Linked DNA regions of Pelodiscus sinensis. The protein of the gene in region 2 interacts with the protein of the main gene of each other region in a pairwise test. Links are inferred from orthologs where the notes say so. Each region holds a gene or a part of one and is shown on either strand. Other genes may lie near its edges. The genes, in order: MAB21L3, STAC3, C2H1orf35 and ZCCHC10.

Evidence for each region.
Region 1: the proteins of STAC3 (region 2) and MAB21L3 interact in binary tests that used the Homo sapiens proteins (3 or more experiments, as listed by UniProt). The two-hybrid records come from large-scale screens. The link is inferred for Pelodiscus sinensis from reciprocal best matches to the Homo sapiens genes STAC3 and MAB21L3.
Region 3: the proteins of STAC3 (region 2) and C2H1orf35 interact in binary tests that used the Homo sapiens proteins (3 or more experiments, as listed by UniProt). The two-hybrid records come from large-scale screens. The link is inferred for Pelodiscus sinensis from reciprocal best matches to the Homo sapiens genes STAC3 and C1orf35.
Region 4: the proteins of STAC3 (region 2) and ZCCHC10 interact in binary tests that used the Homo sapiens proteins (3 or more experiments, as listed by UniProt). The two-hybrid records come from large-scale screens. The link is inferred for Pelodiscus sinensis from reciprocal best matches to the Homo sapiens genes STAC3 and ZCCHC10.

The regions. Positions count from the first base shown.
Region 1 is NC_134711.1:143,470,984-143,478,729, forward strand, and holds the start of MAB21L3 (protein mab-21-like 3), read right to left. Parts: upstream 3,010-7,746; 5' UTR 2,885-3,009; intron 476-2,884; exon of another isoform or gene 345-475; intron 1-344.
Region 2 is NC_134729.1:3,046,074-3,053,787, reverse strand, and holds the start of STAC3 (SH3 and cysteine-rich domain-containing protein 3), read right to left. Parts: upstream 3,016-7,714; 5' UTR 2,829-3,015; intron 1,578-2,828; 5' UTR 1,577-1,577; coding exon 1,511-1,576; intron 683-1,510; coding exon 427-682; intron 54-426; coding exon 1-53. Other genes in the region: R3HDM2 (R3H domain-containing protein 2), read right to left, coding at 5,101-5,447, 6,948-7,032. UniProt on the Homo sapiens protein: Required for normal excitation-contraction coupling in skeletal muscle and for normal muscle contraction in response to membrane depolarization. Required for normal Ca(2+) release from the sarcplasmic reticulum, which ultimately leads to muscle contraction.
Region 3 is NC_134712.1:252,797,943-252,805,789, reverse strand, and holds the start of C2H1orf35 (multiple myeloma tumor-associated protein 2), read right to left. Parts: upstream 3,010-7,847; 5' UTR 2,865-3,009; intron 1,919-2,864; exon of another isoform or gene 1,481-1,918; intron 51-1,480; 5' UTR 1-50.
Region 4 is NC_134727.1:24,430,353-24,438,319, forward strand, and holds the start of ZCCHC10 (zinc finger CCHC domain-containing protein 10), read left to right. Parts: upstream 1-4,960; 5' UTR 4,961-5,070; coding exon 5,071-5,228; intron 5,229-5,844; exon of another isoform or gene 5,845-6,588; coding exon of another isoform or gene 6,589-6,599; intron 6,600-7,967.

The DNA.
Region 1 (7,746 bases), on a different chromosome or scaffold from region 2:
GAGTTAGGGATCCCCTGTGATACTGTGCCGAGTAACGGCCTCCAGCAGTGATCAACTGCTCTTCAAACGGCTTTTCACACAGGCTGCCCTGGGATAAGAACCGTTTACGTGGGCAAAAAATTCTGTGCATTTTACTTTGTCTTTAAAAAAAAAAAAACCAAAATCACCCCCGGTGAGGTCACAGGGGCTGTTTCAGTAACAGTGACGGGCAGAGGAAGGCGGCTGGGAGCGAGTGCTGCTAATTCCATGTGACAGCACCGAAGTCACGCGAGCGGCTGCCCCCTCCCGCCACCCCACCTATTTCCTGCCCCCAGGCGCCTGCCTGCCCCACCCCTCCCCCTTACCAGGGAGCCATGGGCCACTCGGGGCCTCGCTCAGATTGGGTGCGGCATGATGATGTCATCAGAAGGTGCCTACACCAGTGCCCCCCCCCTCCCCCCCTTACTGGTGCCCTTTGCTGCTCAAGGTGCGGAACGGCCTCCCCACCCACCGTGGGGATTGGCCCTTGCTTGAGTCAGTCACCTGCTAAGTCAACCTGGCCAGGAGGAGGGAACCCTCCTCTAATTGGCTGCCTGGCCCACTGCCCCACCTCCTGGGAGAGAGTAGCCAATCAGAGCTGCTGCCAGAGGCAGCTAGCGTTCTCCCCCATCCATCAGGGCAGGCGATAGGGTTGCCAGCCTCCCCCCTCCCATGATTGTCTTGGAGTCTCCAGGAATGAAAGATTATGTCACGTGATGAAACCTCCAGGAAAAAATCCAACCAAAATTGGGAACCCTCGGCTGGGGGTGGAGGGAGACAGGAGCCACAAGAGCCCAGCAGCTTAGTGTGTTTCTGCTGCTCCCTCCTATAATGAAGGGCCTGTCTGCTGCTGCCTAAACTATGGTTAGGGCCATCACTGGCCGGTGGCCGGTATTTTTATGGACTTGCCAGTTGCCAGAAAAATAATTTAATCTGATGGGTTCTTTGTTTCACCTGGCTTTAAAGATTTGCATACGCATCACAGTGCACTGGGATAGCTAATGGTAAAACTTCTTGTGTCCAGCTAAAGATGCTGCAGTGTTTCCACTTCCACTGTTTAAGCAACAACGCATTAAAACGGAGCCATGTAGTCTAGACACACCCTAACTGTGCTTCCTCCTAACACCAGGCTTGGAAACGGAGAGACCTCCACTACAGCTGCCTCCAGTCCCCTGGGGCCTGGGAGAGGGAGTGCAGAGCTGTTGGAGCTTCAGAAAGAATTGATCTGAGGGCTGGAGGAGCAGGCAGAAGTATGACTGGTAGGATGTATGAAATTAATAGTGGGGCTTTGGGGGAGACACAGAATTAACTAATTACAGGCGACCCCGAGACTTACGATCTAATTGGTTCCTGGAGAAGCATTGTAAATCGAACCCTTATTTCCCATAGGCTCAATGTTATAAATGGGGGTTCTGTTCCTGGCCTGCTTTGCCTCCTGGGAGTTGTAGTCCCCAGCACGTGGGGCTTGAGAGGCCATGCTGGGCTGGAGCAGGGCAGTCACTAGGGACAGGCCATGCAAATGTCCCAGGCCCACAGTGGCACTGATCAGGGCCCGGGGCAAGGCTCTGGCCTTGCCAGGCAACAGTTCAGATGCTGCCCGCTGTGCCTCCTGGGAGTTGTATTTCCCAACACGCCGGGCTTGAATGGCCCCACTGGCTGCAGCGGAGTGGTCATAAATGCAGGGGGTTGTAAGTTGGGTGGTCGTAAGTTGGGGATCACCTGTAGTCTGTTGGGGCATGGGAAGAAGCTGACACCTGTGCTCCATCAACAGCCACAACAGCTCCTGCAGCAGGGCCAGAAATGCCTCATTCTGTACAGCCAGGCAACACCGTGAGAGTGCAACCCACAGGGTGTTGGAAAGACAAGGCGGGTGAGGTAATGTCCTATGTTGCGTTTGGAAGGGGAAGTCGAACTGTGAAAGACAGGCCAAAAATACTACATAAAGGTTCAAAGTGTTATGATCTGGGGGGCCCAATCTCACCATTTTGAACTTTTGGGAGATAGCAAGCCCAGCACCTGCTCCAGCCAAAACTGCACCAGGTGGCCAGGGACAATATAGAGCATGGGACAAGACTCAACATGTCCAAAAGCCCTGCCCCGGCACTGAGCTGGGAGGCTCACAACATTACTTTTCACACTAGAAGCGCAGTTTGGCAGTGCCTAGTATTACTTCCCTAGAGGCCCAGTCTCCATGCAGAGGGAAAGCAGCCTCCTAACCAATCATCAAGATCTTTTCCTGGAGCAACTTGGCTTTTGGTTACAGCTTACAAAGCATTGCCAGTGCTCATGATATTTGGTGTGCCCCAGCTGTTGAAATCAAGTGATTACAAGAGAATCTCAGCTTTATTTTAAGGTTTTTAGTTCTCATAGGGCATAGCTTCACAGCTCAAGACTAGCTCCATTTGTGTCCACACACTAATTGTGCTACCCTAGGGCTCAGACCCAGTGTCCTAAGACCCTAAGGAGCTGGTCTGAGCCTGTGTTAAACTGAGACCTATTGCTTTCTGGTGTGCACATGGGCCTGACTTGACTCAGGTCCTGGCAGTCCTCCAAATGTATCCCAGAGTACCCAGATGCAGCTAAGCTGTACTACAGGCTGGAAGTGCTGTTGTTGTATGGCTGAACACTCTGCCAATTCTTGCCCTTCTGGTGGCTGCATGTCTGGCTCCAATTCCTCCTAATTGCTGTGTGGATAGGGTCACCCTCTTTCAAGTTCCTGCCCAAGGGACACTGCCAGAGGAAAAGGGAGCTAGAAGGCTGGCACCGTTTCTACTGTACAGTTTCTTTTCACCTTGACTATTGAACGTATTTATAAATAACAAGTGTAATAGCCTTAAAAATAAATGTAAATCACATTGAAATGTACCTTTGTCCTTTCCTCCTGCGCCTCCTTCCTGTTGTGCCCATACACATTGAAGAGGGGATCTTTCTCAGCAGTGGTTGATTGCTCATCAAATAGCCACAAAAAAGCCTGGGCAAGATGCATGCCTGAAGTTGTACTGTACAAGCAGGATGTCATTCAGTGACGCACCAGTCAACACTCTGCCACCCTGACTCTGCGCTGCTCCCTGCAGTGGCCCTGTCTTCAGAGCTGGGCGGCCAGCCAGCAGTCACCATGCTCCAACTGCTCTGTTCCAAAGGCCGCACCGCTAGCGACAGCAGTAGAGAAGTCAGGCTGGCAAGTGAGTGACTGTGTACACTGCTGCTAAGGCCTGGCCAGAATTGCATTTCTACCAGAGTTGATGTTGGGAAAAGGACAGGCGAGGAAAAGTGATGGACTTTGGTTCATATTTCAAAAACGGAAATGGGAAGATCGAAAAAGAAGAAAGGAGGGGGCGGGATAATGTCCAGGACAACCTGGTTGTATGGTGACCCTATGTGTGGAGTTTGTCTGGAGCAGGGAACAAAGCTGATAGGCAAGAGTGTCATCCCTCCCTCAGCCATGCTGAGCTAGGAGCCCCCATCCCTGCAAGGCAGCTGCTTGGTCCTGCTCTGCTCTCTTCTCTCAGGCCCTCCTGGGGCTGCACATACAGGGGCACCAGGGCACCATGCATATGAGGGCAGAGAATGATAACTATAGCCCCAAAACTTCCCACAACTTCCCAGGGAGCCCTTATCCCTGCTTCCCAAGGTGCAACAGGGGCAAGGATTAGGAGTCCCAGGGGTGTTGGAGCACACTTCACCCCCAAGCCCTGGGGATGCATTTCACCACTGTGTAGCTGGCAGCAGCCAGGCTGGGGTGTGCCTGTGTGTTTTTGCTGATACCTTCATTTTATCTCACACTTCAAAACAAACAAAAACAAATAAAAACCAGCCGGTCAAACACACCTGCACTGAACAGCCCCATTTAGAAATGAAGAACTGCAGAGTTTCATTGTAATCGTTTGGCAGCCCTGGAGACTGACGTGCGAATTCTCCTCCGAGCAGGTGCACGTGGGCGTTGCCCTGCCAACATGAGACAGCCTAGAAGTGGGGATCCCAATTCTCAGGTAACGCAAACTGTCTATCATTCCAGCGAGAGAGCCCTCCGAGGAACTAATTGTACAGCATATGTACTTGTGTGCTCCCTACGGGTACAAACAGCACCACCACAGGTAGGAAACAGGGTGGGCAGTAGTTCTCCCACGATGCACTAAGATTAGAGTATTGACATGTGTTTGCGTGTGTGTGTGTGTGTGTCAGGGATGTGTCTAGGCACTTTGGCATATATTTACTTTAATTTGGGTCTGTGCACTACAGTGTGGATGTCAGAACTGTGGGGTCAAATTGGGACCAGAAAATTCTTAAAATTCTGGGGCTAAAATGCAAGGTAGATGCCCAAGCCTAGGGTTCCTTGACACAGGATGTTACCAGAGGCTGTTGTGAAGACTAGGACTTCAACAGCATTTAAAAAAACACTAGATAAATTCAGGGAGGTTAGGTCCATCAATACTTATTAGCCAGGATGAGCAGGAATGGTGTCCCAAGCCTCTGTCTGTCAGAAGCTAGAAATGGATGACAGGGGCAGGATCATGTGATGATTGCCTGTTCTGTTCACTTCCTCTGGGGTATCTGGTATGGGCCACTGTCGGCGGACAGGCTACTGGGCTAGATGAACCTTTGTTCTGACCCAGTATAGCCATTCTTATGTTTTTATGTAGGTCAGCTGTGTTCCACTAATCCTAGGCTTACACTGCTGTGCAGACATATCCATAGTGTCAGAGACAAGCTTGAAAACATGAATCCTAAAAGCTCAAAAAATGAAGCAAATTAACTCCTCCTTTCATACTTCTAACACTCTCATTATTTTTGAACTAGCCAATTAGCCCGTCATAAGATGGGATTTTCAGGTCTCTCCTCCACATCAGTCTTCTCTCCTGAGCCTCCGGTTTCTCACTCCATGTCTCTTTCTCTCTACTCCTCCTACTGCCTCTCCCCCTCTCTCTCAGCTCTCCTCCACTTTCTGCCTCTCTCCCCATCTCTCTCTTTCTCTTCTCCCCCTCCTGCCTCTCACTCTCTCTCCACTCTCCTCTGTCTCTGTCGGGGATGCATGCTCATCCAGGCCCCGCCCCATGGGCGGGTACATCATTGCCCCGCTCCACTTCGCCTCTCGCCGTGGTGCTCAGCTGACTTCTGTGCTGCTCAGTCGGGCCGCCGCATGGGAGCAAGCGATTCAAACGGCCTCTCTCTCTCTCTTCTTCTCCTACTGCCTTGCCCCCTCTCTCTCTCAGCTCTCATCCACCTCCTGCCTCTCTCTCTTTCTCTTCTCTCCCTCCTGCCTCTCACTCTGTGTTTTTCTTCTCCTGCTGCGTCTCTCTCTCTCTCTCATGCTGTCCTCCACCTCCTCCATTCTCCTCTCTGTCTCCTCCACATCCTCTGTATCTGCTCCGCTTTCCTCCTTTTAAACCCGACGCCCTTTCCTGACGTCAGAGACACATGCTCATCCAGGCCCCGCCCCTTGGCTGTTCCCTCAGGGCGGTGCTGTTGCCTCCCACCGTGGTGCTCAGCTGACTTCTGCGCTGCACCCCCGTGCTGCATGGGGAGCGTGGACCCCAAACGGCTGCTTGCGCCACTTGCTCCTGCGTGGCGGCCTGGCTGAGTGGCACAGAAGTCAGCTGGCAACAGCGCCGCCCAGAGGGAACAGCCAGCATTTCAGCGTTACAGTGTCACAGACATTGGGCTACTATATATATGATGCTTGCAATTGTCAATATATAGTATTCTATCCACATGTTGTCCAGACCAAACTTCATGGCTTAGAGCTTAGTGGAACACCACCTCAGGTAGCCCAGGATGCAGTAGTTTTATAGGTAATCAATTTATACCCATTTGTACTGGATAATAATACATCTGAACACCTTTGGTTTAAGAAAAATTAGGTGAGTTCTTGAATGACTGCAACAGAACGCGCCAAGCAGAGCAGAGTTACATGGAGTGTTCTGCCCTTAATCATCAGGGAATTACCATTGGCAGCTCCTCTTTCCTCCTGGCTATTGCAACATTCAAGGACAAGCAAGAGGGTTAAGCAGACACCAGCAAGAAGCCCAACCGATGGTCTCTAACTGGTTGTGATGAGGCATGTTTGCACCCTACACATTTCAGCTTAATGGCAAATCACACAAACAACTGCTTCAAGCAGGATTTTGTCAGGATTTCCTTCTGTAGGAAATGTCAAGGGCTATTGCCCCAAAGGAATAATAGCGAGAGCAGAGATGTGTGGCAGATGTTCACTGGGGCTTGATGTGTGCTAGTTAATATTCATTTAATATTTGCAAAGTAATTGGATCATGAGACTTGGGAGGCAGGCACAAAGAGATGTGTGTCTAGGGTCACATGCATTGAGAAATATTGAGTTTTCTGCAACTAAGCTAGGCTTTTAGAGTAAATCTTATTATAGTGGATTATTATTCATCTGAAATATATAGGCAATTTACAGATGAGGCTCCTTCCCTGAATAGCTTGCAACCAAACTAGACAATGTTTAGATATGAACAGACATACATGTCAAGTTTCATGGAGCTCCATTGCTAACATGTCATGCAAATTATGTAATGAGTGAGTTTGCATAACTATAGACTTCAATTTATAGTTGTTACTTGCTACTCTAGCTGCGACAGGGTAAATCATGGAGTTGTACAAACTTTGAAAATGATGGCTGGGGTTGCTGGGTGAGTGTTTAAGGGTGCTGAAGCAAGATTGGAGATGCCTGAGGTTATCAGGCTAGGAATATAGATGTGGAAGATTCTCCAGTATTGTGAATAAATGGATAACTAGGAATTATCTGGAATGGGTGAGGAGTACTAGATGCTAGCTGAGGCTTTGGAGTTTTACTGGGGGCCTAATGCCTGAGGACTTTAATAGGGTTCAAACAAGAGCTTGATAGATTCATGGAGGTAAGGTTCATCAATGGCTATTAGCCAGGATGGGTAGGAATGGTGTCCCTAGCTTCTGTTTGTCTGGAAATGGGTGACAGGGGAGGGATCCCATGAGGATTACCTGTTGTGTTCCCTCCCTCTGGGGATCTGGCATTGGCCACTGTTGGAAGACAGGATACTGGGCTAGATGGACTTTTGATTTGTTCCAGTACAGCCAGTCTTATGTTTTTTTGATTAATTGGGTACTACCAAGGCCTCTGACCTTTTGTCCCTGCCTGCCAATCACCTGGTTCTGCTGATGGTACTTTTTGTTTCTCCCAATTGATCCTTTCCTGTACTGAGCCAGCTGGAGGAAATAGTGAGAATGGTGGCAGAGACCATCTACACAGTAAGCACCATAGTGGCTCCCTACAGGTGGGGACAAAATCAATTGCTACCCCCTGATTGCAGCCCAGCTTGATGGATGAGCTATGGGAATGTGTGACAGGGGTGCTGAATTTGAGTGGCATGACTTAGCAGCCCTGGACAGAGCATAGAAAGCAAACCCAGCACAGTGACTGAGGGGCTCAGAACTCCTGATTCTGTATAAATTTTTCCCCCCCATGTGATTTGTTAACATTGCTTTGAGAGGACGTGGGGCAGGTTTACACTTCAAATGCTGCAGTAGTGCTTCACCAAATACAGTACTTTGCTGACAGAAGAGCTTTTCCCGTTAGTGTAGTTAACCCATGTTAGCAAGAGATGGTGGCTGTGTCGAGGGGAGATACCGTCCTCTTTACGTGGCTCTATCTACAGCAGGGCTTAGGCCAATATAACTGCATTGCTTAGGTGTGTGGAGTCAGTACCCCAATATAGGTCTAAAGTGTAGACATAG
Region 2 (7,714 bases):
CTGGTGGATGTTGGTTTTGCAGTTCTTGCACCGCAGGCCGAATTTGTTGTTGACTGGGGGGGAGGGGAGGAAGAATCGATGAAACGTCCCAGCCCTGGAACCTGCTCGGCTAGAGACCCCCCCATCCAGGGGTCACAGCTCAGGGGTGCGGGTGGGGCCTGGATGGGGACCGGGTTCAGGGCTGGTACGGGGCCTTTGGAGCAGCAAAGGCGGGGCGGTACCCCCCGTGACAGAGCCCCTGGGAGCCGATGTCTCCATGAGGGGGGGCCTCTGCCAGGCCCCTCCAGCCCCCCCCAGCCAGGCAGCAGGGGCCCGTTACTGCCCCCCGGACTGGCAAAGGTGCCGGGGGGGCCAAGTCCCGGCCTGGGCCCGACCCTGCTCCTGGGCCGTCCCACACCTCAGCCACGCTGCCCCCCCCCCACTCACGGACGATCATGCGGGCGCAGACGTCGCAGAACTTGGGCTTTTTGAAGTAATGATCCTTGAACTTGTGGGGCTTGTCGTTGACGGGCTTCTGGGGCTCCGGGGGCGGCTCCGGCTCCTCCTCCTCCTCCTCCTCTTCCTCCTCGTAGATGTAGTAGATGGGCCCCCCCGTGGGGCTGACCAGCTCCCCGTTGGGCTGCGGCTCGGGCGCCGGCTCCTCCTTGGGCTTCCGCTGCAGCAGCCGCTTCAGCGCCCCGAGCTGGGGGGAGACACCGGGCACCTGGGAGACACCCACAGCCCTCCCCGGGGGAAACCGAGGCACGGGCAGGGACGGGGGCTTGCCCCAGGGTTCCGTGGGGAGTCAGAAGCAGCCACTGGGCAAAGAGCCCAGGAGTCCACCCCCCCAGGGCACCGGGCCGGGCGTTCGCCCTGCAGGCTGGCACTGCCGGGGTGGGGAGGCCACTGCCCCAGGAGGGTGGTAGGAACCCAGACGGGGCCCTGGCCCCTCTGGGCTCCGCACTCCCAGGCCTCTGGGGGGGGGCTAGAGCTGCCTTGGCTGCCCACGTCTGCACCCCCAGCTGGCTCCACCCCCTCGCTAAGTTCTCAGTGCCGGGGCAGAGCCCTGCAGGGGGTGGGCGCGGCGGCGCGGCAGGGGGCACAGAGCAGTGGGGCTCCCAAGCCCAGGAGCATGATGAGCCGGTCCCCACCCTACCCCTCCTCCAGCAAAGGGCAGGGGCCAGCGGCCCCCCAGGGAATTGGCGCTGCCCGGCCTGGGGGAGGGCTCAGCCCCTCACCCCCGTGGGGCCCTGCTCCAGCAGGGAGTGAACCCCGACACCCCCAACTCATCGGATCGAAGGCCCCGGCGCTGGCCTGGGGCTGGGAACGTGGGGTGCGCTGGGACTCAGCCTGGCTGCCCCACCAGCCACCCCCGGCCCAGCCAGCGCCCCTCGATCTGGGGCGGGGGGAGCCCAGACTGAATCTCAAACCGTTGGGGGGGTCTCAGCCACTGGGAGCCACATCCCCCCATCCGGCAGCCGTCGCAGGGGGACAGGGCAGGCTCCGGGGCCGATCCTGTGGGCGCACTTACCCCGCTCCCTGGCTTCCCTCCCGGTGCGGGTGAGGCCGGCGGCGCCAGCGCCTCCTTCTCCGTCATGCTGCAAGGGGGAGCAGAGGGGTCACGGGGGCTCCCCAGCCACCCCCACTAACCGGCAGCCAAGTGACAATGCCGCAGGATGAGCGAGCACCGCACCCCCTGCCCCACGGCAGCGCCAGCTGGGCCCTGCTCAGGGATCCACGGGCACAGGAGTCCTGGGGCCTGCCCATGGTGCCAGGCTTGTGCGATGAGCAACCCGCCCGGGGACTGGCAAGGGCCGGGCACCCCCAAGAGGAGACAGCACCAGGCCCCCAACCTCCTGGTCGCCCCCTTTCTGCTGTGCCTGGTGGCACCTCGCCCACAGCCCCCCGCACGCCCGGCCCAGGAACACTGGCGTAAGTCCTGGCGTCCGACGAGCCCCTCACCCCCCAGCTCGCAGGGGTGTGTTACCCCTGCTGTGTGTGTCAGACGCGGGAGGGGGTCTGTGCGCGTGTGGGCCAGTCCCAGGAGGGCGTGTGTGTGTGGGGGGAGAGGGGGGGCAGTTGCAAGAGGGTGTGTGCACAGGGGGGCAGTCACAGGAGGGCGTGTGTGTATGTGCGCGGGGGGGCCAGTCACAGGAGGGCGTGTGCGCGGGGGGGCCAGTCACAGGAGGGCGTGTGTGTGGGGGGGGGGTTGCAGGAGGGTGTGTGCGCGGGGGGGGCCAGTTGCAGGAGGGTGTGTGTGTGTGTGTGTGGGGAGGGGGGAGTCACAGGAGGGTGTGTGCGCGGGGGGGCCAGTCGCAGGAGGGTGTGTGTGTGGGGGGGGGTTGCAGGAGGGTGTGTGCGCGGGGGGGCCAGTCGCAGGAGGGTGTGTGTGTGTGGGGGGGGTTGCAGGAGGGTGTGTGCGCGGGAGGGCCAGTCGCAGGAGGGGGTGTGTGTGTGTGGGGGGGTTGCAGGAGGGTGTGTGCGCGGGGGGGCCAGTCACAGGAGGGGGTGTGTGTGTGTGTGGAGGGGGGAGTCACAGGAGGGTGTGTGCGCGGGGGGGCCAGTCGCAGCAGGGTGTGTGTGTGTGTGTGTGTGTGTGTGTGGCAGCAAGGGCAGGCCACTAGTAATAGCAAAGGCGGGGAGAGGGGGAGCCTTTGGGCATCCTGGCTGCTGGCCAGCCCCCTTGCCCCAATGTGGAAGGGAAGGGGGCATCTGAGACAGGTGGGCAGCAGTGGACAGAGGAGAAACCCAGCAAGAGGTGTGTGGGTGCACACGCGTGTGGCGAGTGCGGGTGGGTGCACACGCGTGTGGCGAGTGCGGGTGGGTGCACACGCGTGTGTAAGACTCACCTCTGAGCTTCGGGCTCCCTCCCGCTGGATAAATCCTCCCCGAAAGCCGCTCAGTGCCCCACAGAGACGGGCCCCGGCTCAGAGCCCCTCGGCCGAGCCAGCACCGGGCTGCACGGGGCGCGCGGCTGGAGACGGACTGACAGGGCGAGAGGGGAGCGAACAGCTGAGCCCCATCGGGGAGGCTGACGCTGAGAAATCGGAGCTTGCACACGAGCCGGCCTGGCCGGCAGGAGCTGCTGGCTGCTTGCCCGGTGGGGCCGGTGGACGCGGCCTAAGGCAGCCAGCCCAGCCCCAGGTGGGACGGGGGGGGGGGTTGGTTCCCACGGCCCGGTCACCAGGGACAGGGTGAGCCTGCGGCCTTTGGCTCCCTGCAGACACGGGGCTCTGGCAGGCTGGGGGGAGCCCCTCGGCGCTCGCCCCCCCCCACGCAGGGCCTGAGCCGCCTTGGGGCTGCTCTCGCTTGCACTCAGCCCCTGGGGCTGCAGACGATACCCACAATGCAGTGCGTGCGGGGCAGGCCGGAGCCCCTCCCTGTGCAGGCTCTGATGGGGGGCGGCTCTCAGGGGCCTCGAGCTGCCACCAGCCCTTGTCCCTGGGGGCTCTCACCCCGTCCCTGCTGCCGCCGGGTGCCCCTGCCTGTGGCGAACGCCGGGTGCTCAGGGACCGGGGCCGCTGCCGGGTGGCAGGCTCCAGGCCCCACTCCGCCGCCGGGCGCCGGAGCCCTTGGGGAGCAGGACACGTGTCTCCAAACACGCCCAGGGCCGTTCCCAAGGGGCTCGGCGGCTCCTCGCCTCTGTGCCGGCCGACAGGGAGCCAGGGGCTGAACGCCCAGGGCACGGCTCTAGGACAGGCTGCGCTCCACGGTCACTGGGTCCCGCCTGGGCTACGTCACATCACAGCAGGGAGCTAGGGAGGTAGCAAAGGGGGAGGAAGGGGGGGGACTTCAAAGGGGCAGCGCCGCACGGAGCCCGGGATCAGCTGCTCCGTGTGGCGCTGCCCCTTCGAAACGCCGCTGTGGCATACAAAGGGGCGGCGCCGCACGGAGCCCGGGATCAGCTGCTCCGTGTGGCGCTGCCCCTTCGAAACGCCGCTGTGGCATACAAAGGGGCGGCGCCGCACGGAGCCCGGGATCAGCTGCTCCGTGTGGCGCTGCCCCTTCGAAACGCCGCTGTGGCATACAAAGGGGCGGCGCCGCACGGAGCCCGGGATCAGCTGCTCCGTGTGGCGCTGCCCCTTCGAAACGCCGCTGTGGCATACAAAGGGGCGGCGCCGCCCTCTCGAATAATTGAATAGTCGATGCCAAAATGCATCGACTATTCGATTTGTCAATGACGTGATCTGTAACATCCTTAGGCCGGGCACGGAGCCCCCGCGCTGGGACCGGCGTGTGGTGCCCCGACCAGAGCAGAGCGGGGGCCTGGCACAGACGCCCCCTCCGAAGACACACGGAGGACGCCCCCACCCCTAAGGGCGTGACCCCTTTCGGATGAGTTGGTTGCCCCCTCCAAGGGACGCCCCGTCCTGCTGAGCCCCGGGTCCACTCCCGGCTCTGCTGCCCACACGCGCCAGCCCTGAGGTGAGTGATTCGCCCCCTGCAGACGGCTCTTACCTCCCTGGTGCACCTCGGCTCCCAGCGTTCTGCCCAGCCCGGGCCCCGCACAGGCCCAGGCTGGGCCCTGTGCCTCTTCCGCAGTGAGGGAAGCCAGGCTGGGGCCCAGGGGCTCTCAAGCTGAGGGTCACAACCCTGACAGCCATTCAGGGCAGCGGCTTGGCCTGCTCACTGGTGATGGGGGCACGTCCCTTGGTGATACCCCAGGAGGGGTACAGTGGGGGGGGCTTGCCCTGCGGGGAGGGGGGAGAGAGGGAGGGAGGAGTCCCAGAGCTGCGGGGGGGGGGGGGGTCTGTCGGTAACCCCTCGCGCTGGGCACAGAAATGGGAAGCCGCTTGAAAGTGACAAGATGATTTTTTTTTTTTATATTTAAAAACAAACCCAACCCCCCCGCTCCCTCTGGATTAAATAGACTGTACAGAGACCAGCCCCTGCCAACCGCTGCATGTGCAAGTGAGCGCAGCGCCCGCCGCGGCACAACGCTGGACCCAGCGCAACCTGTGTCCGGGGGGGCAGTGGGGGCGCGTTCCCGGGGGGGGGGGGGGGGAGGAAATGTTCTTCCACTCCAAAAAAAAATAATGATCAATTTCTCATCTCTTCATTGTGTCCATATAAATAGGGGCCGGGCGCGGGGCGGGCGGGGGGGCGGGGCCGGGGGGGCCCCTACTGGGAGCTGGCCCGCTCCAGCACGCGCAGGTCGTAGCTTCTCTTGGCCACGCGCAGCCGGAAGCGGCTGAGGGAGTTGTTGAGGCGCAGCGAGGCGTTCTGGGCGGCCAGCGGGCTGGGGAAGACGGCCACCACGGTGTACAAGGCAGCGAGGTCCGGGTGGCGGCCGTTCTCCGCCGGGCCGTTGTTGTCGCCGGCGCCGCCCCCGGCGCCGCGCCGTCCCCGCGTCTCCTTCAGCCACTGGATCTTGGCCCCGGCCATGGCGAGCTGAGTGAAGAGCTTGTCGGCCTCCGTGCGCGTGATGCCCTCCGGCAGGTCCGTCACCTCCAGCACCCGGCCCAGCACTGCGGGAGACAAGGCCGGGTCAGCGGCTGGGAGGACTAGTGGTTAGCATGGGGGAGGGGAGTGGCGCCTATCGGTTGGAGCAGGGGGCTAGGAGCCAGGACTCCTGGGTTCTACTCCCGGCTCTGGAAGGGGGCCCTCAGTCCCTGCTTGGATGAATTGGTCAAGTCCCAGGGGTGGGAGGCGGGAAGTCCTGGTGCACTCCCAGGTCACCCCCTTCCCCAGCAGGGGCTGTGTAATGCAAGGCCCTGGCGCCCCCAGGCCAGTCCCCACCAGGCGCAGGCAGACAGCTGGCTGTCAAGGGGGAAGTGATCAGCCCCCAAGGCCCCCTGGCGCCCCCAGGCCAGTCCCCTCCAGGCGCAGGCAGACAGCTGGCTGTCAAGGGGGAAGTGATCAGCCCCCAAGGCCCCCTGGCGCCCCCAGGCCAGTCCCCTCCAGGCGCAGGAGGCCAGCTGGCTGTCGAGGGGGAAGCGTCCCGCCAGCCTGGGGAAGTGGGCACGAGGGGCTGAGCACTTGGGGCTCCGCCGGGGCACCTGGCTGTAGCACGGGGCCTTTGCGGACAGCCAGGCAGCCCCAGCCCCTCCGGCTCAGGGCAAACCCGGCTCCCGAGAGGGCAGGGGAGCCAATGCCCAGCGCAGGGCTTCAGTTAGACCCGGCTGAGAACGGAGCTGAGCCGGGCGGTACCCGGGCCGCGCCCGCAGGCTGCAGCTGTCAGGGCCCGGAGCCTGTCCTGGCCGCGGCTGGGGCTCCGTGCGCCAGGCAGCGTGAGCAGCCGTCCCAGGGCCCCAGCAGACCAAATTCTGAGCTAATATTAAACCAGCCTGTAACAGATCCCCAGCCCCTCCCTGCTCTGTTTCCACTGCCCGGGGCGGGAGGGCGGGGGGTTTAAAGGGGCCCTGGCGTCACTGCTGCAGCTGTCTGGGGGTGGGGCAGGCATCTGCCTTGCAGCCTGGCCCCCCTGTCAGCAAGTGCTGACTCTGCTCCCGGGGGGCACTGAGCAACCACCCTACAGGCCCATGGGCACTTCAACCCCTGCCAGCCCTCGGGCAGCGGGCGGAGGCAGCCGCTGGGATCCAGCAGGGAGGGGCAGAGGGCTCCCAGCAAGCCAGCGACAGCTCTGCTCTAACCACTAGACTCCCCTGCCCTCCCTGAGCTGGGAACAGAATCCAGGCGTCCTGGCTCCCAGCCGCCTTAGCCAGTAGGTGCCTCTGCCCCCAGAGGAGGGGATAGAACCCACACGTCGATTCTTCCCCTCCCTTTAAGCACTGGGCAGTGTGCGTGTCCCGGCACACGCTCCCGCCCGCCGCAGCCGTATCTTCGCTCGGCACGGGGCAGGCAGGGCACAGGGGGGCTCTGCTGACACTGCAGATGCCCTCCAAGGGCAGCACTTCCGCAGGCCACGGGTCTCTCTGCTCTAGACCCCAGCGGGTCGTGGCCAGGATCGGGGATTTCCAGCCTGGGCCGCCGGGCGGGAGCAGCCCCCGAGGCCTGTGGCCACTTGCCTACGTCGCTTGTGCCGAGGTCGGTGGACGCGGACTTGAGGGCTTGTCTCTTGCTCCGGTTTCCGTGCTTCATCCCGGTCTGGCCCTGGAAGAGCAAAGCCAGACACTCACCCGGAGAAGGCCCCGGCCCTGCGGAGCTGGGATGCCCGGCCCTCCCGCTCAGCACACCACGGTGAGCCTGGCTCCCCCCCACGCTGCCGTGCCAGGCCCCCTGTGCCTCGGGGAGAGGCTGCAGGACGCTCGGAGCTGACGCCTGGCTGGGGACAGGACCTCAGCGGGACTGAGACCGGCAGCCGGGCACTCGGCGTGGGCCCTGATCCTGCAGCCCGTGGGGCGCCACTCTGCACCCATCAGGGCCTGCGGCTGCAACGGACCCACCCTCCATTGTAACTTTTGCCTGGTGGGGGGGGGGGGGAGAGGAAATCGGGGCTCCCCCCACCACATTTAGCTTCCTTCTGAGGGGCAAAGACGGCAGGGACCCGCTGGCTGGAGCAGGAAGGGGGGAGGCTCGTGGGGAGATGAGAAATTCTGCCACTTCAAAGCTTGTTCCTTTCCCCAAGGCAACTCCAGCAACACCCCACCGGGGCGCGAAGCCGCAGGCCCTTTGGCTTTAAGACGGAGATTCAGGGAGGTTTATTTCCACGCGATTGCGGAGCCGTGCAGGGACGTCGGCCGTTCCCCCGCGGCGCCGGGCCGGAGCAAGGGGATGTGGCAGAGCCGAGGAACGGCCCGGCGGGGGCAGAGCAGTGGCGGGTCCAGCCCAGGCT
Region 3 (7,847 bases), on a different chromosome or scaffold from region 2:
GGCTGCGTTGGAAACGAAATCGATCACCACGGGATGCTCAGCTCTCTGCCCTGAGTCGTCAAGAAATAGAACATACAACAAGATCATCCCAAAGGTTACAGATCACACCCCACAGCCAACTGGCTTACAACAGGCCTGCATCGTGATGGAGGGGGAAAATGTTCAAAGTCGCTAAGAGAGGGACGTTGACTGCTAGAATCGGCATGAATTCCTGCAGCTGACCCGGGGTGCTGTGAATGGCACCTTCCTGTGCCGGCCCACTCCGACCAATACCTCTGTGGGGATTCACCCCGAGGCAGCTTCTGGCTGGCTGGGGTTCCACGGGGATAAAATGAGAGCACCTCCCATGGGCACCCCCACTTATTGGCCCAGGGTTGGAGAGGCTAAAGCTGTTTTCTGTCATCATGACCTTCCTCAGCCCCTGGGTTTACACTGGCAGAAAGCTGAACCCATCTCACTGGCCACGCAGAGTGCTAGGTGGCCTTGTCCCAGCCGTACAGAAGAGCAAGGCTGTCTCTCAGAGTAGGTGCCCCAGGGCAGACTCCTTACATCAGAGCGGCCAGACTGGGTCAGACCAAAGGTCCACTTAGCCCAGTGTCCTGTCTGCCGACAGTGGCCAATGCCAGGTGCCCCAGAGGGAGGGAACACAACAAGTAATCCTCATGTTAATCCCTCTCCTGTCACCCATTTCCAGACAGCGGCTAGGGACATCATTCCTACCCATCCTGGCTCATCGCCATTGATGGACCTAACCTCCATGAATCTATCTAGCTCTTTTTTTAACCCTGTTAAAGTCCTAATCTTCACAACATCCTGTGGCAAGGAGTTCTACAGGTTGACTGTGCGCTGAGTGAAGAAAAACTTCCTTCAGCCATCTATGCCCTTTGCAAGCTATCCAGAAGCAGGAGGAGCATGAGAGGAAGCAGGTCACATCTAGCAGAATGCAGGAGCTGTGCACCTGGGCAGACCCTCGGTTCTGTGGAGGCAGCATCCTGACATAGGCCTCACAGGGCTCTAGAGCAGGATTTCCCAACATATGGGTCACCATTACATTTCACAAGGGTGGCCAGGTGTCTCCCCAGGTGGCTCTTAAGGAGCTATTCACACATTTTTTGAATTGCCCTGGGTCACCAAGTCTTCCTGAATTGTCAAAATGGGTCCCCATCTGGAAAAGGTTGGGAACCGCTGCTCTAGAGGGAGGCAAAACACCCACAGCGCCCTTGACAGATTTTTCGCAGCTGTGTAGGGAGAAGAGACGCTCTTCCTGACCCTCATGGCAATCAGCTTGTGCCCTGAACTGTGGGACGTAATTAACCCCCATTTTAGCATGTACAAATATGGGTATTTTTATACTGCACCATGACCACACACAAGATGCTTTGCAGACTCCTGGAAACAGGAGTTCCCCTCAGCAAAGACCTCACGAGAGACGGGAGCAACACAACCTGCTTTCCCCACAGTCATAAGGAACAAAACTCACTGACTGGGGAGTTCCTCTAGGTTTTCTCTCTCTCTTCATGCAGTGACCAGCCCAGAAGCCTCCCTCCCAATCAACATGCCCAGGGAAAGGTGTGCAGAAGCCTGGCTCTAAATCATTCCTTCCTTTGCATTTCCTAGCTCTCGGCGTTCCTCCAGTGACAGTAACCCACATCTCCCCTCTCGTGGGCCTTTCCGCAGGGCTGGCGCCGCACACGAGTCCAGTGCCAGCAGGCGGAGAGGAAGCGAGTCAATGGTGCCAGGCCCACAGCTGCCTGGCTCTAAGGCAGGCTCCCCTCCCCTCCCATGGGGGCTGGAAGTGGGGGGAGGGTTGCTAGGGACCCCCTGGCCTGGAGCAGTTTCCATTTCACACGGGATACATAGGGTGGGCCTGTGGCTTTCGGGCCCGACATACACACTGTCCCTGACCCCGGCCGCGCACGCTGTCTCTGCCCCCCCCCCCCATCGCTGTGCACACTGTCCCTGCCCTCCCACCCCACGCCCCGGCTGCGCGCACTGTCCCTGCCCCCCCCAGCTGCACGCGCACTGTCCCTGCGCCCCCCTCACTGTCCACGCACTGTCCCTGTTCCCCCCCAGGCTGCGCACGCTGTCTCTGCCCCCCACCCATCGCTGTGTGCACTGTCCCTGCCCTCCCACCCCACACCCCGGCTGCGCGCACTGTCCCTGTGCCCCCCCTCACTGTCCACGCACTGTCCCTGTTCCCCCCCCGGCTGCACGCGCCCTGTCCCTGAGCCCCCCCCCACTGTCCACGCACTGTCCCTGTTCCCCCCCCCCCCCCGGCTGCGCACGCTGTGTCTGCCCCCCCTCCCCCCATCGCTGTGCGCATTGTCCCTGCCCTCCCACCCCACGCCCCGGCTGCGCGCACTGTCCCTGCGCCCCCCCCCCCGGCTGCACGCGCACTGTCCCTGTTCCCCCCCCCCGGCTGCGCGCACTGTCCCTGCGCCCCCCCCCCGGCTGCACGCGCACTGTCCCTGCGCCCCCCCCCCCCCGGCTGCACGCGCACTGTCCCTGCGCCCCCCCCGTGCACGCACTGTCCCTGCGCCCCCCCCCCCGGCTGCACGCGCACTGTCCCTGCGCCCCCCCCCCCGGCTGCACGCGCACTGTCCCTGCGCCCCCCCCCCGGCTGCACGCGCACTGTCCCTGCGCCCCCCCCCCGGCTGCACGCGCACTGTCCCTGCGCCCCCCCCCCGTGCACGCGCACTGTCCCTGCGCCCCCCCCGGCTGCACGCGCACTGTCCCTGCGCCCCCCCCCCGGCTGCACGCGCACTGTCCCTGCGCCCCCCCCCGTGCACGCGCACTGTCCCTGCGCCCCCCGGCTGCACGCGCACTGTCCCTGCCGGCTGCGCGCGCTCCCCCCGCCGGGATACCTGCGGCGCGCGGGCTCTCCCCGAGCAGCCCCCTGCCCAGCCGCTTCCGGCAGCGTCAGCCCCGTGCGCGGGAGCCGCCACCGCGAGGGGCAGCCGGGGGAGCATGGGCTGTACCAAGTGGCGCCGCGCGGGGAGGGGAGGGGACGCGCAGACGTACACGCAGCAGCAACTCTGTGTGTGTGTGTGAGTGACAGGGCTTCTGTGTCTGTACCAGTGCCTGCAACACACTGTGTGAGAGACACCTGGGCTGTGTCTACATTGGCATGATTTTGTGCAAAAGCAGCCGCTTTCGTGCCAAAGCTTGCTGCCTGTCGACACTGGCGGGGAGTCCTGGCCGAGAACACTGACGGTCTAATGCGTGAACTCAGGGCTTCTTGCGCAAGGACTATGATGCTCCCGCTCAGGAATAAGCCCTTTTGCGCAACTGTTCTTGCACAAGAGGGCAGTGTAGCCAGGCAACATGAATTTCTTGCGCAAGAAAGCCCTGTGGTTAAAATGGCCATTGGAGCTTTCTTGCACAAGAGAGCGGCTACACTGGTACGGATGCTCTTGCACAAAAACACATCTCTTGCGCAAAAGCACATGCCAGTGTAGATGCTCTCTTCTGGAAGAGTTTTTGCACAAGAACTCTTCCACAAAAGAGTTCTTGCGCAAAATCATATCAATGTAGACGTAGCTAAAGGCTACGTCTACACTGGCGTGATCTTGCACCAGAGATATGCAAATGAGGCTAAGTGTGGAATATTGCCGAGCCTCATTTGCATATCTAATGAGCCGCCATTTTTGCAGAAGAGGCTCTTGCGCCAGAAGGAATTTCTACACTGCCCCTTCTTGCGCAAGAAAAACCCTCTTGCGCGATGCCGTTATTCCTGAAAATAATCAGCGTAGCGGCATTGCGCAAGAGGGTTTTTCTTGCGCAAGAAGGGGCAGTGTAGACAGCTCCTTCTGGCTCAAGAGCCTCTTCCACAAAAATGGCAGCTCATTAGATATGCAAATGAGGCCCGGAGATATTCATAGAATCATAGAATCATAGAATAATAGGACTGGAAGGGACCTCGAGAGGTCATCGAGTCCAGCCCCCCGCCCTCAAGGCAGGATCAAGCTCCGTCTACACCATCCCTGACAGATGTCTATCTAACCTGTTCTTAAATATCTCCAGAGAGGGAGATTCCACCACCTCCCTTGGCAATTTATTCCAATATTTGACCACCCTGACAGTTAGGAATTTTTTCCTAATGTCCAATCTAAACCTCCCCTGCTGCACTTTAAGCCCATTACTCCTTGTCCTGTCCTCAGAAACCAAGAGGAACAAATTTTCGCCTTCCTCCTTGTGACACCCTTTTAGATATTTGAAAACCGCTATCATGTCCCCCCTTAATCTTCTTTTTTCCAAACTAAACAAGCCCAGTTCATGAAGCCTGGACAATGTAGCACTTTAAAGACTAACAAGATGGTTTATTAGATGATGAGCTTTCGTGGGCCAGACCCACTTCCTCAGATCAAATAGTGGAAGAAAATAGTCACAACCATATATACCAAAGGATACAATTAAAAAAAGTGAACACATATGAAAAGGACAAATCACATTTCAGAACAGAAGGGGAATGCAGGGGGAGGGGGGAGGAAGGAAGGTAAGTGTCTGTGAATTGATATTAGAGGTGGGGAGAGTGGGATGTTTGTGAGTTAATGGTATTAGAGGTGATAATTGGGGAAGCTATCTTGATAATGGGTAAGATAGTTCAAGTGTTTGTTCATTCCTTTTTGGAGAGTGTCGAATTTTAACATGAATGACAGTTCAGAGGATTCCCTTTCAAGTGCAGATGTAAAAGGTCTTTGTAGCAGAATGCAGGTGGTTAAGTCACTGAGAGAGTGTCCTTTCTGGTTAAAATGGCAAGAAACTGTTTTTCCATGCTTAGCCTCATTTGCATATCTCTGGTGCAAAATCATGCCTATGTAGACATAGCCAAGGGGTGTGTATGTGAAAAAGAGACACACACATAGAGATGGGCAGGGGAGGGCTGTTATAAGACTTCATGTCTTAGGGTTTGTAAAACATTTTGAGATTGGTTGTTAATAAAAATGTTGTTTTATAGAGCACTTGCCATCCATAGCTCTCAAAGCCCTTCGCACAGGAGGTCAGTAACTCAGTTTCCATTTTACTGAGAAGGAAACTGAGGCAACAAGCACACACACACACATTTAAAAATCACTCATGAAAGTTACAAGGAAGCCAAAGGGTTACATGTCAAAGTGACCCAGCTTGGGTATCTTGGCTGGTCTTAAAATAGCCCCTTTATCTCAGAGTTTGCAGCCTATTTACATTAAATGCCATCCTGAAGGAATGTAAGGTCTGTTTCTTGACTGAGATAATTAGATCTTTGGCTTAGTGCACTGATGGCCTTCATGCATCCACAGGCACATACCACATGCATATCATTTAGCACCATAGTGATAGAAATGTAGCCGTGTTAGTCTGGGGTAGCTGAAGCAAAATGCAGGACAATGTAGCACTTTAAAGACTAACAAGATGGTTTATTAGATGATGAGCTTTCGTGGGCCAGACCCACTTCCTCAGATCAAATAGTGGAAGAAAATAGTCACAACCATATATACCAAAGGATACAATTAAAAAAAGTGAACACATATGAAAAGGACAAATCACATTTCAGAACAGAAGGGGAATGCAGGGGGAGGGGGGAGGAAGGAAGGTAAGTGTCTGTGAATTGATATTAGAGGTGGGGAGAGTGGGATGTTTGTGAGTTAATGGTATTAGAGGTGATAATTGGGGAAGCTATCTTGATAATGGGTAAGATAGTTCAAGTGTTTGTTCATTCCTTTTTGGAGAGTGTCGAATTTTAACATGAATGACAGTTCAGAGGATTCCCTTTCAAGTGCAGATGTAAAAGGTCTTTGTAGCAGAATGCAGGTGGTTAAGTCACTGAGAGAGTGTCCTTTCTGGTTAAAATGGCAAGAAACTGTTTTTTCTTTGTGATCTTGTCTGATATCTGTTTTGTGGGCATTAATCCTTTGGCGAAGTGTCTGAGATGTTTGTCCAATGTACATAGCAGATGGACACTTTCGGCACATGATAGCATAGATTATATTTCTGGATGCGCAGGAATATGTGTTCTTGATCTTATAACTCACTTGGTTAGGTCCAATAATGGTATCAGCAGAATGAATATGTGGACAAAGCACCAGGATCTCTTACAGATCAAAGCACTCCCATAGACCTTAGTCTGTCCTGCAAGCACACATATCTTTCACTTTACTCAGCCCCTTTGCAATCAATGAGACTACTCACATGAGTAAAGTTACACATGGGTGTAAGCTTTTGCTTGGTCACCACCTCAGTGTAGACAGTCAGAACATGAGGAGTAGCAACTAAGGAAGGAAGGTAGAAGGAAATAGTTGAGCAAGGGCTACAGCGTGAAAATCATAAGATGGATTGTTGCAGATGCAGCATAGCTCGCTCCCCGTCAATTTTAGTTTTGCTGCTTGTCTGCAGAACTGTATAATTGCTGTATGTTTTTGTGGGCTGGATAGGAGGAGATCTCTCTCTAATCTAAACACTGGTTTGGGAGTCCTGAAGTCAGCTCTTATTTTGCCCATCAAAATTATTTAAGTTCCATCTTCCAGCTATGAGTCCTAGCCCTCCCTACCCACATACTCTCAGAACTTGATCTTTACTACGTTGTACCCATTTATGCTTCTGACAAATGTTGCTGAGGTCCATCTCTTGGTACACCACACATCCTTTGGGCATACGGATTCTGTAAACTACTGGGTTTTTTCAGCTGTCATTGAAGTCAATGAAAACTGTGGGTCCTTCTCTCTTTCCAAGAGAAGGCTAATTATCAGACTGGGCCAACATTATTTTCTTCAAGTCTGATTAAATACTGAACATGGAAGCCCTTGGTCATGGAAGGATCCCTGATATGTTCTGTAAGTATGAGCTGTTCACTGCACTCTCCTGCTCAGATTTCAGCACCTGAAATCACATGCAGCCTTGTCTAGCTTTTCTGCAGCTTCCACTGATTAGGATGCTGATCTACACTGCCTGCTTTAATCTGTTCCCTTGTGTTCCTGTGCCTGGGGGAAAACAGCTGACATGTTCTCCTGAGGTGGCCACATTTTGCAGTGGATCAAGTGATTCTCATCACTTGTCACGTGCTTTGGGATTTTGTGGGAAGAAAGGCTCTAAGTCTATCTAAATGTAAGATTACAGCAAAACCTGATTTGGACGCCATCTCACACAGAAGGCCTACATCTTAAGCAATCACTTCAAACACCCAAACAGCCTCAATACTGCTTCCTTCAAACTACCGTGAAAACTGTAACTACCCCTGAATGTTAACTTGAGTCCTGCAGTGACTCATTTACACTCAATGTACAAAGTCTTTAAAACTGAGGTGAGAAGCATGTTGGCCTTCCTGCAAAAGCTTATACTATCTGGCTGCTCAGGGTGTGAAAGGCATTGGTGGTGGGAGACTCAATCCAGCTCCCAGTAGACTTATTCCTCATCACAAAATCTTAATGGGTACAGAGACAAGAGCTGGTCCCCTTTTCTGGTAATCTCAGCAGATAGGACAGTTAGAGGTAGAATGGTAAGAGGGTAGGACGCAAGCCTAGGACTAGGGACAACTGCATTTAAGTCTCTGCTCTATGACAGAGTTAGGAAAGTTACTTAGCCTCTGTTCCTGCTCTGTAAAATGACACCACCACTGCATGGGGTGTTGGGAGGCTAAATATACAAAAGACTGTGCAGTGCTCAGATAATATAATAACGAGTGCCATAGAAGTATTGCAGGCTGTTGTAGTATAAGGACACCCTACATCAATGGGAAAAGATCTTTTATTGATGTTGGCAATCCATTTCTCTAGGAGCCAGTAGCTGTACCTACACAGGGGAAGCAGTCACTCTGTGCACAGGGTGCAAAATTTTTCACATCCCTAAATAATGTAGCTGAAACAAAATACAGG
Region 4 (7,967 bases), on a different chromosome or scaffold from region 2:
ATATAGCTATTTTCTGCAATATCCTGGACAAACAAGTAGGTTTTCCAGGAAATATCTAGGGGAAGGTATATGCAAATACAACCCCACTGATAATGTTAAAAAACAGCCTTTTGAAGCTACAACCTGAGGAGAACCACATTATCTATAAATTACCTATTCCCATTTCAAAGACTCAAGCTGAATAAAGGAGGGACTAAACTTTTCATGAGTGTGTTTGTTCTGTGCTGTTACAAACTTGTGACCATAGAGAAGCCCCTTGGTGTAGTTGAAAGACTGTTCACATGCCGGTGCCTTTGTTGGAGATGAGTGAGTAAGGTTACTAGCATGTGTCTTGGTTCCCTTAGGGTGCGTCTAGACTGGCAAGATTTTGCGCAAAAGCAACTGCTTTTGTGCAAAAACTTGCCAGCTGTCTACACTGGCCACTTGAATTTTTGCAAGAGCACTGACTTTGTAATGTACAAAATCAGTGCTTCTTGCGCAAATACTTTCACGCTCCCACTCGGGAAAAAGCCCTCTTGTGCAAGAATACTTGCACAAGAGGGCCAGTGTAGACAGGAAAGAACTGTTTTGCGCAAAAAAGCCCCGATGGCTAAAATGACGATTGGGGCTTTCTTACGCAAAATTGCATCTAGACTGGCCACGGATGCTTTTGTGCAAAAGCACTTTTTGCGCAAAAGCATCTGTGCCAATCTAGACGCGCTTTTGCAGAAATACTTTTAACGGAAAAACTTTTCCGTTAAAAGTATTTTCGCAAATCATACCAGTCTAGACGCAGGCTTATTGTTTTTCATATGTTTTCTCAGTCTCATATGTTTTCCTATGTTTTCTCTGCTTTCAGCTTCAGAATAAATGTACTTGATTAGAAAGAGCTTGATTATTTCGAACGCCCATTTCACTGCCGCTTGTAGACGCGGGCAGTTATTCCGGGCTTATCAATTTCAAAGATGGCACCCGGCCAAGAACATGCAAATCAAGCACGGGATATTTAGATTCTGGGCTTGATTTGCAATCCCAAATGCCTACATTTGCAGCCCTATTTCGAATTAGGCTGCAAGTGTAGACATACCCGAAGAGTCCATCACTTCTTCCACTTCCCAACCTGATCCCACAGAAAGAAAGAAACCTATTTTCTTCCTTGCTCCCAGCCCCACAATCCAACACTGCCAAAAGCTCCACTGTCCTATTGTGTTCTTCAGGCTTATAATTTCTTTGTTGCATGAGCCTCTTCTCTACCATTTATATTCTATCTGGTGGTGACCAGGGCTGGCCTTACTATGAGGCAGTCGCCTCTGGTGCCAAACTATGGGAGGGAGCCACTAGGACCCAGAGTGTAGAAAATTGTATCTGCTGCTGTTTCATATGTATTCTCTCCGCTCTAGATGCACAGAGATGGTGGAGTGCTGTGCTGGAGGAAGGAGGGCAAAAGAGACATAACAGGCATGCAGGAGAAATGGGGGCGTCATTTGAGCTCCCTGCCTCAGGTGCAAGAATGTTGTGGGTTGGTCCTGGTGGTGACTTTTGGAAAATGAATTTGGTAGATGTCAGTTCAAATCCTAGGGGCAGACATTTCTGACACTAATGTCACCATCACACTTGGAACTAGTATAGGGCAGTCTTTACAAAGGAGATATGGTCAATGTCTATGGGGATTTAACCACTCTTTCACCTTTAGACTTGGTCCATTGCAGGACTATGTGTACTCTTGCTTCCCAGACTGTTCTAGTTCTGTGATAAACAGAAAACTCTAGTCTCAGTACCATTAATCTGATATCTTGCTTTCATGAGGAATATATATGCTGGAAAAATATGGAGGGGAAGAATGTTAAATCTTTGAATAGGACCACAACAAGATATTTGCCTATTCCTTTTGATGAAGTGCCATGGAGAAGCCCAAGATTTCTGAACAGTATTAGATAAAAGTGGTTAAGAGCTAGCAGCAGACACAACTGATAAATTATTGACTGTTACAAAGGTACGTTTTCATCTATCTTGTTTTAAGAAAGTGTTAGTAACTCTGTCCTGGAATCAAAAGTTCTTCCTTACTTTCACCATCAGAAGATAGATTCAGGCTAAACACCAGGTACTGGCAGTAAATTCAGAAAACAAGAGTTAAATGCCACAAAAGAGAATTACAAGTGGCATCGCAGATACTGGAGGTCAGAAATTTTAAAAAATGCCAGAGTCAGATGTGAGTAGTCACAGATTAACACAAGGTATCACCCAAAGGGAGACAGGGATTAGAAGCCAGATAAAGCCCCATATAGTATGACACGTGACGCATAGGGCAACAGCAACCAGGCATTAGACATTACAATTGAAATGTTTAGAACTTGGAACTGCCATTAGATTCAGGAATGAGTCATACAATTAACTCTGATGAGCTGGAAATGTTTATCTAACAAAACTTTTTATTAACTTATCTGCTATAGGCAACATTTAATTGGTTGCCACTGCATCAAGAGGGTCCTATTATTAATAAAATACACATTGTATGTCTGCTGCTGGCATAGGTGAGGACTCCATTCTTTGTGGGCCCTTTAGAGTGTGCAAAAAACCTGCCTTGTAATTAATCAGAATTATATTTATTTACAATCAATTATAACATTAATTATACAGGTAAATGTGGCTTATTGAAATGGTATATACCCATTCTTTGGAGAGATCATTTATTTACTATATTATGGACCCATAAATCCTGGCTCCATATTTGATGCAGGGTTTAAGCTTTTTGTTTGAAGTAGGGTACTATTCTTTCTGTTATGGCGAGATATAAAGGCTGGGCCTGATAAAAATCAACACACACATACACATTTAGGGGGGAGATAGCATTTTTTGGGAAAGTTACAAGTAAACACTTTGAACATTAGGACTCCCAATTAGTTAAATGACTCCTTTTTTAAATTTGAGGACTGTCTGGTGTATCCTTGGATCTTCCTTGTTCAAAGCCAAACTGTCTCTGCAGAGACAAACTTTCAACATTTAAATTTCCTTGTCAGTTTGTATACAGGCTAGTATGCAATTATTCTGAACTATGTGAGGAAACAATTATAAATTGTACGGTTACAGTCAAGTATCTGCCTATAGTTTAAACAATTTTTAATTGGCAGCACTTGAATCAGAGGTACTTCAACCAATAATCACTCTTCTTCCCCACCTCATTTGTATACTGCAATTCTATTGGTTGAAATGAACTGATAGAGGGAAGAACTTGTATGAGTGTCAAGAGTTCGTATTGGTAGATTTCATCTGCACACAAACCAAAGGAACACTGGATTGGCTCAGAGTTGAGGTGCATTCATCTAGTAGTTGTATATATTTAAAAATATAAACAACCTAAGAAAACCCAGCAATCCACAGGAAGGGTACACTTCATTGTGCAAAATATAGCATGTGAGTATGTGTGAAATGTGTTATATACATTTATACTGACAGTGTCTCTAGAGCCTAACAAAAACACAAAGTGGTAACACTTTGCCTAGTATCATACAGGAACTCTTAGGCCAAGCCATGTATGGAGTCAGTACAAGCACTGGGAAACAAGACCAGTTGTTATCCCTTTTGAATGGGCAGTTATCCTAGGGTTTCCAACTCTCTCGGAGAGGATGAACTGGATGCCATTACTACAAATGGCATCTAGTCTGTCCACTCAGGAGAGTTTTCAACCCTAAGTTATCCAAGAATTTGGGTCTTATTCAATTGGGAGGAGAAGTTGGTGATGGAATCGGGTGTGTGTATGATATAATCCAATCTATTTACAAAGTCCTGTTTCCTTGCACAAAGTGGAAGTCAAATAAAGGAGAGTGTCCTGGCTTAACTATCCAAGCTACTTTTTCTAGTCAGCACTTTGCCCCAAAGTGCTTTGTCATTGTTTTCCATGGGGCCATGTTCTCAGTGCTTTTTCTGACTGTGTCCATAGCACAAAGCAAGTCATATAAACCCAACTTTGTATAGGTAGTCACTAATTGCTCCTTATTTTCTGGGTACCCAACTGCAGACCCCTGGGTCTGATACACAGAAGTGCAAAGCACTCACATATGCATGTGAAATCAATGGGAGTTCTGCTTTTAACATACAAAGTTCTATATATTGCTAAGTACTTTGAAAAAATTGGGCATCTCAAATAGGGCCTAAATTATTGACCTATTGACCTTAGTCTCTGGTCCCTATTTGTAAATTGGGCATACCTTGCTTGAACCTCACAGGAGCTTTGTGAAGATAAAGAAACTGGTGTTTGTGAAGCACCTGGATGCTATAGTGATGAGCACCATAGAGGAAGCCCATAAGGAAACTAATAATCTCTGTCTTCAATGTGCCCTGTGACTACAGATCCTGACACACAAGGGTCCGTCTTGATTTGAAAAAGAACCTGATTTATAATATTTTCATAGAAGTCATTACCTGTAATTTATGTTGTACTTAGTCTGCAGAAACCCCACAGAGAAACTGATAAAATTACAGGCTTAACATTGCTCAAGGTAAACATTGGACAGGTAAACAATGCATTATACTTTTTTCAACATCAAGCGTGTTGGGATAATTGTTTGTCTTCAACTAATATTTAATGTAGAGGGCCAGGAAAGCGCCTTCATTTGTGATTATAATAGTCCTACAGCCCATAAGAAGGAGAAAGAACATAAGAATGACCATACTGGGTCAAACCAAAGGTCCATCCAGCCCAGTATCTGCGGCCAGTGAGAACACAAAAGTCACTTTATGCAGGACAGAGAAACAAGTCAAATCCATCAGTGTGAGGCTGAGAAGCATGAATAGACCAGCACAAGTCCAAAACAAGGTAGCAGCTGGTGCCTACGCATCTGTATACAAAACAAGGTAGCAGCTGGTGCCTACGCATCTCCCCAGGTCAGTGGGGAAGGGCACGGGAGAGAGTTTCACGTGGCCCAGGGAAGGGGCAGAAGCCTGGGAAGCAGGAGAGCGCGCTGGAGGACCAGCAAAGAGCCAGCCACCGGAGCTTCCGCTTCGCAGGAAGCTGCCCCGCCCGGAGAAGTAGAGACGAAGTGGAGGACGGGCCCCAAAGCGCGTCTTCTCTAGCCGCCCGAAGCCTGGCTCTTTATGGTAGACAGCGGCCGGCTTCTCCCGCAATGGGGAAGGCGGAGAAGGGCGGAATTGCCCGGCATGCAGCGCGGCGGGCCCTTCTCTGCTCGCCTCACTTCCCGGCCAGGGGCTAAGATGGCGACTCCCATGCACCGACTCATCGCTCGGCGGCAGGCGTGAGTGCGCCGGGCTAAGGGAGCGTCCCCGGAGACAGCGGCTCCCCGAGGGGCAGCCCGGGAGAAGCGGCGTCCAGCGGGCACGGGAGAGGGGGGCTGTCTTGGCGGGGAAGCCGCAGGGACGTGGGCTCTCCTGGGAGGGGAGCCGCGGGGGTCGCTGCGGCCCGTGTATGGGGAGGTCTCGCTGCCTTCACCCGTCCCGGAGAGCGTGCGGGTTGGGTGTGGAGCCAGCCCTGCGGGGGGCAGGTAGCGGCGGCTGGCCGGGCTCGCGGCGTTTGCCAGAGGAGCGCTGGTACAGGCGGCGAAGGGCAGTAAATGATGCGCGGCGTGTGTACAGGACCCCTCGTCTCCGCAGCCTCTGACGCGCAGCCCCACGGTTAAAGGGCTGTAGCGTGCGAGCAGATGGTTCTTGTTTGAAAGCGAAGCGATGCATCTGTCTGGGAGGAAGCTCTTCCCTGTCTAGCCCAACGCAAACTCTAGTCACCCTGCGCTCACCGCGAACTGGGGCAGGCCTGCTGCTCGCTGGTTTCTGAAAACAGATTCTGTATTGCAGTATGGAAGATTAAGTTGAGCATGGTACGGAGCTTCTGCAACAGGCCATTGCAGGAATAATAGAAATTTTTTACATATCGGCGTGAGATAGCTAAGTACCATTAGTTTATATATCAGAAACTTGATAAACAAAGAGGTTGCATGGCATTGGGTTTTTGTCCCTCTTCAGAAGTTGAGGATATTTTTTTTTTTTTTTTTTACACCAGAATTTGAGGTCTTGAGTGTCCAGACTAGGGTGATGGAAGAAGTAGCAAATGGATGGTATTTGTAATAATCAAGAATGAAAGCTGAATGAGAGGGGAAGGATGTCTTAGTCAAGGCTTGCCTACAGTGGCAAGTTACTGCAATGTAATTTTCTGCTTAGGGATGTGAACTCCGCCCTCCCCCCACCACACGCACCAAGTTACAGTGCTGTAAAGTACCAGTGTGGATAGTGCTGCCCTGCTTTCAGCACTATTAGCGTCTCCCTTCTTTGAGGTAGTTTACTTAAAGTGCTGAACAAGTGTTCTCCTAGCACTTTTGCTGTGACTGCACTGTGTTAAAACAGTTAAAGTGAAGACAAACTCTGATTGTTTAAAACTCCAATTTTGAATAATTAACATTAATGTCTAATCAGTCATGCATTCTTTTCACAAATTGTTAATGGTTCTACACCCAAACCCGTCAGTGAAGGTGTAAGATGTCACAATACACCTATCTGAGGGAATGTCTACACCTAAAAGTAGACAAAACAAAAATTGTTCACAGTTGCTCCCTGTTTTGACAGATCAAGTCCACATTGGGGACACCATCATCGACACTGTGAGCAATGCGCTGTGGGTATGTATCCCACAGTGCAGTGTTGTGGGAAGGCAGAGCTGAACCCTGCACACCTTGTGATTCTTTTAGTTCTCTCAGCATCCTCAGCTGATGGGGCATCATCACGAGTAGCTCTGTTTCAGTGGTGAGAGTGGAAGGGCAGATAGGTGTGGCCCTCTCCTCCCACTTTTGCAGTGGGCAGCACCGCTGAGTTTGATCTGAGCATTAGTCTCCAGGGCAACTGCTGCCTTCAGTCCAACCAGCCTCGTGTGTCAGAATTCCTCCTATCCCTGCCCTGCTTAGCACTGCCTTGGATCCCAGCCCTGCCAGGAGCCCTTGGTTTCCTCAGGCTTCCTACCTTATTGATTGATTACTCTCCATGCTGAGGAATGCTGCCTCTTTCCCCATGCAGCAGCAGTCTGCCTGATGCTGTCTTCCTATTGCAGGGCAGAACAGGAGCATTCCAATGATTTATTCTTTGTTCCCCAAACTGAATAGCTCACTGAGCTGTCAGATACTTCCCAGAGCTTTCAAAGGGGAGGCGTGCATGCCTACAAGACAGCAGAGAACAAAACACTGAACAGAGCCATCAGGGGAGGCATTGTGGGATATTGGCGGGAGCCAGTTCTATCCTGGACAAAACACACAGTAGAATCTATGTTGCCTCTTAGTATTTCTTTGTACCAGGAAAAAAGAAAAAGGTCTCTCATTGAGTGAAAGTTTTTTGATGCTGAAACTAGGTATTTTTCCCCAGTAAAAGTTGTGTGAATGTTCTCGCTGTTGTCTCTCTAAAAGGCAATTTTTAGTGATAAAACTTTGTAGTGTAGATGTATCCTGAGAGACTCATGAGGTCCCCAAGTAGGAAAAACACAGAACGTTCTAAAGTTTAAAAACAGGAAGGGCAGAAAAAATCATTTCAGGTCTCTTTTACTCACACATCTATAGTAGTGCTCACAAAAAAAGGACAAGCCTACATTTTTCTTTTTAAATTGTTCAGGTCATCTTAAAGTAACTTGACCAAAGTAGGGATGTTAAATAACATAAATGAATAGTCAATTAACCTCATGAATTCTTACTGGTTACTCGACTATTCTGTAGTCCGCAAGGTGGGGCTGGCAGTGTGTGCTCTGGCCTCGTTCCCAGGGAGTCCCTTGCCACTCTGCTCTGCTGCCTCTGTATCAGCATAGAGTACCAGGTGAGAGTTGGTCCATGAGGGGAACCAGTTTAAAAACCAGCTCCCCTCATGGACTGGTTGCCTGTTGGCCCACACTGTTGCCTATGATACAGAGGCAGCAGCATGGGGTTCCAGCAGCCCCTGTCTAAGGGGTCTGAGCTCCTGAACCCAGCACAAGCCGGAACTGAGCCGGGCTGCCTGCCCGCCTGGCTCCT